Astyanax mexicanus: one gene and its partner. The protein of the gene in region 1 purifies or fractionates together with the protein of each later gene. This does not show direct contact. Links are inferred from orthologs where the notes say so. Each region holds a gene or a part of one and is shown in the gene's direction. Other genes may lie near its edges.

Region 1 (3,925 bases):
TCAGGTAACTTTGTGGAGAATATGCTGCTCATACAGTTTTTATTATTTTATCTAAATATTTAAAACATGTCCATGTACATGTCCTATATACATATAAAAAACAGCAAGAAACAAAGACGAAATAGACAGTATAGGAAAAATTAAAGACACGAATATAAGAAATAGAAAAAAAAGAAAGAAATCCAAAACAATCTTAGTTAAATGAAACATATTATACCTCTTTTTAGACAAGTTAGAATAGGTCTATGAGCTAGACAAAACATGTTTTAATGAAGTTCTTCAAACAGAATCACTCACACTTAAAATAAAGAGATCTCACTCTCTATTCTTACCAGTTTTAAAGTTTTAAGGGCTCTGACACGTTTATACTAATAAGATGCAGAGAGACCAAATTGGAAATACAAAACCATGTAAAAGTTAGTTTTGCGTATATGTCTCATTTTTCTTAAAAGGCTGATTAACTGATTAGCTAATCAGCCAGTTAATTACTTAACTTGTGGGTCGGCTTATTATCCATTCAGTCTGCTGAATATTAATCAGTGATATTTAGTAGATTAATTAGCCAGTTAATGAGTAGGTTAGTTAAGTAGTTAATCAGATAATTTGCAAATGAGTCGTTTTAGTTAGTTATCCTGTCAATATGTACATTAGTTACTTAGTCAGTGGGTTAAGTAGCCAGTTTTCCAATCAGTTGGTTGATTATTCAGTCATTCATCAAGTTAGTTAGTTAGCTATTCAGTTCGGTAAATAGTCAGTCAGTTGGTTAATAAGTCAGTTTGTTAATTCATCCGGTAGCTTATTGGTCAGTCAGTTAATTAATTAGTCATTTAGTTAATTGGCTGATTAGACATTCATTTAGTTAACCCTAGTTAACGATAGACAGTCAAGTATCCCCTCAGTTAGGTTCGTTTATTGGCCAGTCCCTTGGTTAATTAGTCAGTCAGATAACGTTAGCTGATTGGATGATTAGACAGTCATTTAGTTAATTGAAGTTAGTTAGTTATAAAGTTGGTTAGCTAGTGTACATGTTTAAGCTGTTTCTTATTTTATTATTTATTTATTATATTATTATTTATTATTATTTTGTTTTTTCTCTCAGTTTTTGACTCCACTCCTCTCGTGGCGCTCACTGACCAGCGTTTGTTTTCGCCCACCCGTTTTCCGTAAACCACCCGCCTCTCCTTCCTTTTCATTGGCCGGCGAGAACGCGGCGTCCAATCGGAGTCGGCAGAAGTCTGGAGTACGGTCGCAGACGGGAACTTTTTCGCCAATCGGAGCGCAGGAGGGGCGGGACCTCTCGGAATACGGGCGGAAAAAAAGTTAGCGTGGCGCGCGCGCGCCCTCACAGCCCGCAGCGGCGGCAGCAGTTTAGTGGAAAATGGCGGCTGGAGGAGTCTGCCCTCAGCTCCTGTAACCGAGAATTACCGGAGAACCGAGCGCCCGGGAGCCGAGCGGAGAAGTTACCGCGTCGCGGAGGAGCTTCTGACCCCGGCTGAGAGTTACTGCCCGCGGGAGAATGTCGCGCTGGGTTCCCACGAAGAAGGAGAAGTATGGAGTGGGTGAGTAAACAGCGGCGTTTACCTTAGAAACTAAACTAACTAAAACTAACTAAATACAGGATTAAACTCCAGATTTACCTCAGAAACACCGAGAACTCCCTGAAACTAACAGAAGATAATCTCCCGCTGAGGGTCTGCGGGACCCGCGGGCTGATACTCAGTTATTCAGAGTTTAATAAGCGCAGATCTGCGGGTCTGAGTGGGAGAGAGAGGAGTGAGGAGTTGGGAATGGCCGGTTTCCTGTGGAAGAAGGAGGAGAATAAAGGCCTGGAGAAACTGAAGGAGCTGTGTTTTTACTCTCAGCTCCTCTATTTTACTGTTTAAACTTATTTAAACTGATAATATTTACTCTTACTCTCTCTCAGGTGCGTTTGTTTGTTCTGAACAGGTTTCCTGAAACCTGTGGATCAGCGCGCGCCTGTTTTTACAACAACACAGATTTGTTTTTATCCACAACATTTGCATAACATAACATTAACCATAACATTTACTTTAACTTTACATTTAGGCAATATTTTGTTTTGTTTGTAACTTTAGTGGAGGAGTTGAGGAGACTGGGCTGGACACTAATCATTAGTGATTTAACCTGCGTTAATTAGCTATAATTAAGCAGCTCTGGAAAAAATGAAATGAAAAAAATCAGTTTCTGAATCAGTTTCTCTGATTTTGCTATTTATAGGTTTATGTTTGAGTAAAATGAACATTGTTGTTTTATTCTATAAACTACAGACAACATTTCTCCCAAATTCCAAATAAACATACAGTCATTTAGAGAATTTATTTGCAGAAAATGGGTGAAATAACAACAAAAAAAAAAAAGATGCAGAGCTTTCAGACCATATTCAGTTCATATTCATAAAGTTTTTAAACTTCAGAAATTAATATTCGGTGGAATAACCCTGGTTTTTAATCAGTTTTCATGCATCCTTGCATGTTATCCTCCACCAGTCTTACACACTGCTTTTGGATACCTTTATGCTGCTTTACTCTTGGTGCAAATTCAATTTAAGCAGTTCAGTTTGGTGGTTTGATGGTTTTTGATCTTCCGTCTTCCTCTTGATTATATTCCAGAGGTTTTCAATTTGGTAAAATCAAAGAAACTCATAATTTTTAAGTGCTCTCATGTTATTTCCAGAGCTGTAAATAGTTTGTTACCTAACTACAGTATAAGTATTACTGTCTCTGTTAGTTGTACGGTAAAGGACTGTAGGATAAGTATCAAAACTTGCAGATATGGCAGATAAAATAAAATCTACTCAAATAATGAGTATCTGAGAACATATAAAGCATATAAAACATGTATCAGCGCAGAAACTGTGGTCTTTATTTTTTTGTTTTCAGGATAGTTTTGGCCTAAAACCACAATAGTCAAATCGCAGGACATGCTGTATCATGCAAATAAAATATATAATTGTTAAAACTTTTTAAAAGTTCGATACATATGTAATAAATACACTGTGCAAAGTGGAAATACAATATATTTGCCAGACAGTGACCATATGCAGGAGAAATTTAATATATTCAGTATTAAACAACTTTAATAGTGTGAACATTTCAGTGATTTCCTAATTTTTTTCAGTGACTTTCCAATATGTTTGGTGCAAAATAAAAGCAACAGGTCCATGCTTAGTTTGGTGATTTTAACAGCTGTTTATATTAGTAGTTGGCTCATTTGAGGAATTGTGGTGATTTGGTATTTGGAAGTTCTGCAGCTCAGCTAGTGAGAGTGAGTTCATGTTCCTACATGTTTTTTTTTTACCTGGAAGTAGAGATGGGTTGACTGGTGTTTGCATACCTTTAGAGTCTGTCATTGTTGTTTTACACACTCCTGGTTTTCTGTTTTGATTCAGTTTAGTTTGAGTGACCTTTCTGAGAGATAAACTCTTATCTCACTAGCTCCTAATCTCTTTAAACTACCAACAAATTAAACAACTGTAGGTCTTTAACTATACTGTACGCTGTTTGTAGAAGCAACACTTTCCTCTTGATTGTACACAACTAAAAATAAAGCTGCTGAAACTCTTCTCTGAGTGATATTATAGAAAAATCACTTTCATTATGAATCACTTTTGTTTAGAACATTGGTCTGTCACAATCAACATTTTAGTTTGGAACAGAATTATAATTTTGAGACCATTTTATACCATAACTGATTAAGTGATAATAATCCAATTATGTTGTGTAAATAATAATAATAATAATAATAATTATAATAATAATAATAATGATTAAGAACAGGCAGCAGAATTGGAAAATGAAAAAGTTTCTTAAATATCCTAAATAAATGAACAAATATAATTCAAAAGTACCGTAAATTGGCAGTAAATCTTGATTTGTTGGCTGAGAAAACTATAATAAGCAGTATT
Region 2 (3,925 bases), on another chromosome or scaffold:
GCATTGCCCACTGTGGTGGTAATTCCTTCAGGTATAACATGTGACACTGTAGATCAAGAAATAGAATTCCCCATCCATTTGGCACCCACTATCATACCTCACTCAATTTGCTGTGAACATGCTGGCCAGTGTTCAAACTTAAGAAAACACAGGTGTACAGGTGTGGGCATCCCCAAGCTGTCTTCTAAGGTTACACTTAATGATCATTTTCTAATGCTGCTGTCCCATGACTTTTGGCATGTTTTTAAAGTTGCCATGATTAAGGCTATCCACATATCTAATAATATTTCCGTTCAGACTGTTTAACAAAGAGAAAGAAGTGGAAGAAGATAATGAAATAGTTTTAATTAAAAGAAAGCAGTGAAATCTAGGGCTTCTTTGGTATTAATAATTAATTGTGATGAAAATAATAAATTATTAAACCTATTTAAAGCTGAGTGTTAAACTGGGAATGGCCTGATTTAGATGTATTGCATTAGTGGCAAGTGTACATGATCAGTGTCTTTAAATGGGAAAATAATATTCTGGTTCAACTAAATTTATTTGTGGGAAAATTTAAATTGAAACAAAAATGAGAAAACATTGCATGTTTAGCTTAAGAATCCTACTAATAATACTGTTAAATAAAGTCTTAAAATAATCAAATTAAGTCTATAAATAAGATACTAATGGATAGAACATGGATAGACATAGATGCATGCTTAATAACTGCATGGTAATTTATTTATTTTTTACCATCACTGACAACAATTTACTTTGTCTTTTACCACCAAATATGTTATAAATATATACTGTTATGAGGGCACCTATAAGGCACATTTTCTTCTCTCCACCATGAGGAAGCTTCCCCTCATTCTATCAAATGTGATTACACCCTTAACAGCAGAACATCACATTTAATCTACAGGTGGAGCACGTCTTATTAGAGGGGAACCTAACTGGATCCTTAGCCGGCATAAAACATTATTTTTACCCACAAGAGGAGCAGTTACTCTTGCCACTCACCGATATCTAATATTGGAATATGTAATATGCCACAGTCAGTGATGGCCATGTCATGTCATCTGCTGGTGCTTGTTTTTAATTGGCTGTAAGAATGAAACGTAATGAAACGTTTAAAATAGATTACTCTATGTGTATTTTATATCTATATTAAATATGAGTTTCACATTTTGAACTGAATTACTGAAATAGAGTAACTTTTCAATTATATTCTCATTTTTTGAGATGCACTAGTATATTTGTACATATAGTCCACATCTATGTCCATGTGATGCAGAGGTGTAGCTGTGGTGTGGTGTGTTTGTGTACGCCGGGCTGGGCTGGGTTTAGTGAAGCCATGAGTGAGAGGGCGTGGCCAGCGCTCAGGGTTTCTGCGCTCTGATTGGTCCGTGCGCCGCCTCGCGCTGTAAGCGGAGGGAAGCAGGCAGCAGAGGGAGGAGGCGGAGGTGGAGGAAGTGAAAACAGCAGCAGTGTGTGTGAGTGTGTGTCCGCGCTCTGAACCAAACACACACGCACACACACTCAGAGAAACAGAGGAACAGCGGAAAGGAGACGGAGAGCGCGCTGATACTGCCCTCAACTCCCTACAGCAGCAGCAGCCCTGCGGAGGAGCCTCGCCGCCTCAGGTCAGTGTAACGGCTTGGTGTTGAGACAGCAGCGGCGGGGGTAAACACAGCCGGCGGCCGGTCCGGGCTTCACTTTCCCGGGCGGCGGGGTGAGCAGTTCCCCGCTGGGCTGCGGAGGACAGCTGGCCGGCGCGGCACCCCTAGCTGCTATACCATACGTGTGGTTATAGGAGTGGACATAAACAGACGAGAGATGGAGAAAGAGAGAGAGAGAGAGAGAGAGGGAAGGAGGGAGGAAGGGTGGGAAGAGGTTAAAGGGGTGAGAAAAGAGTGAGAGAGAGAGAGAAAGAGAGAGAAGGGTGGCTCCTAATTACCTAGTTTTTGTATCTCTCTCTATATCATAGGCTACTTTAACTTGTGTCTATAATTGTATTGTTATTATTATGAGGCTTATATTACGGTTATATAAAGGTTAACATTGCTTTATTGAAAGCAGAGTAGTTACATCAGTTAACTAGATTTATTTATTTAGTTGGCTCCCCCAAAACAAGACCCACTAACCAACTTTCTAAAGCAAGTGTAACGTTAAGATAAAAGAGATGTTGGATAAACAGCAGGGTTTGTTGTGCAAACAACACAAAAAGTGGAAGTTTGAATGTTCAAACTGTGTGTTGTGTATACTGTCATCTATGCAGAGGGCTGTGTGACTTCAGAGTGGATCATTTGGATATACTGTGTTATTTTAGCATGTTTCTTGTTTATTTTTCTAAATAATGTCAGTTTTATTATGCAACTAACCATCTATAGGATATTTCCCCATTTTAAAACTTACCTTATTTTTATGTATTTATTTATCTTTAATATAATGTTACACTACATATCTACATCCCACCGGCTCATAAATAAAAAAATATGTATATGTGCAATAATATGTTAAGAAGTATATTTAGCTGTTTATATTCTTACTCTATTCTTACATTCTTGTTGTAAGCTTACTTATTGTAAGCTTTTTTATTTGTTGGCAACATTTTGTAGATGATAAAGCAGTGATGATTCAGCTTGTTATAGTTCACTCTTGTTTTGTTTATAGATTTTTTTGTAATAGTGTTTTTGCAACAGCTGATTCTCATCAGCATTATGGTTATGGTTCACATAAGGACCAGCATCCAATGTCCTGACTAAACAGGATGCTTTATAATAGGAAGTTAGGTCTTGCAGGTAGTTAGGAGCAGACAGGTGTAGGTGCCTAGCATAATTTAATAATTAGTATGGAATGCAGTGCTGATAGAACTCGAACCTGACTGCAGTGTTTTGTACTAGATTTTTCCCCACATCGTGCAGGGGTGTTTCTGTCTAAATACAGTAATACTTATGATTGATATATTAATCTTTTAGAACATCATGTAATATTTCTGTAGTTCTTTTTCATTCACTAAAAGTTCAGTGCACCAGATGTTTCACGATGTTTTCTTTCTTTTGTTTCATAATCAGCATCCACTCCTCTTCATTATATGAGATAATGGCTTGACAACATTGGACAAGATTTTGTCTCTTAGCAGCAACGGTCGCCTTCTTTCATCCTCAAGTAGTTGAGTCACTTGTTGGGCTTCAGGCTATGGTGACATCAGTGGCTTCGCCCAGTAAACTCTCCATGAGCTCTTGTCCATGTAATACAGACTGGCCTGCACAGATGTGTCTGAACAGAGCAGTCCAGAAGCACACATATCACATTGTTGGGTCAGTCCTAATTAAAGCACAGAGGAGTCAATGCTTAATGGATGGCTTTAGTCATTGTTGTAATAGCAGTGGACTCTCACATTCATATGTGACTAATGTGTGGTGTCCATGGTACAACTGCTTATTTGATGGCTATCTCTGTTATTATAAAAACAGCTGATGATGGCGAGTAGTGCAGTATGTACATATGGCTCATATGTGTCAGAGCTGGTTGCTATATTGGGCATCACTTTGCATGTGGTTGGTTTGTCCAGTGTCGGGTGACTTCTGGAAGGATTTTTCCATGTTGAGTTTACAGAGAAACAAAGAACATGTGATATACACTTATTAACAATAAACCTAGCGCACCAAGAATGAGTGGTTGGAATCAAATTAATTGTTATATGTAAATGTTAAGGTAATATTTGTAAGAAAAACATTAAACAATTAAATACACATTTAAATAGAGACTTTAGTACCTTATTGGGCTGCCTCTAGCCTGAATACAAAAAAGTATGGTTGGGCATAAAGGCAAATATATTCTGTATGGCATCCTGAGGCACATTTTCCTATCAAAGTTGTAGCTTGTCTTGTAGATCATGCATGCTGTAGGTTGCCAAAACTGGTATTTTGTGTTTGGT

Evidence for each region.
Region 2: the proteins of dock1 (region 1) and elmo1 purify together in Homo sapiens (affinity purification with western blotting; 12 studies listed by BioGRID and IntAct, counting the BioPlex papers as one, with this or other methods). This does not show direct contact. The link is inferred for Astyanax mexicanus from reciprocal best matches to the Homo sapiens genes DOCK1 and ELMO1.

The regions. Positions count from the first base shown.
Region 1 is NC_064422.1:13,828,636-13,832,560, reverse strand, and holds the start of dock1 (dedicator of cytokinesis protein 1), read left to right. Parts: upstream 1-1,340; 5' UTR 1,341-1,516; coding exon 1,517-1,559; intron 1,560-3,925. UniProt on the Homo sapiens protein: Involved in cytoskeletal rearrangements required for phagocytosis of apoptotic cells and cell motility. Along with DOCK1, mediates CRK/CRKL regulation of epithelial and endothelial cell spreading and migration on type IV collagen.
Region 2 is NC_064410.1:47,945,311-47,949,235, forward strand, and holds the start of elmo1 (engulfment and cell motility protein 1), read left to right. Parts: upstream 1-1,476; 5' UTR 1,477-1,628; intron 1,629-3,925. UniProt on the Homo sapiens protein: Involved in cytoskeletal rearrangements required for phagocytosis of apoptotic cells and cell motility. Acts in association with DOCK1 and CRK. Was initially proposed to be required in complex with DOCK1 to activate Rac Rho small GTPases.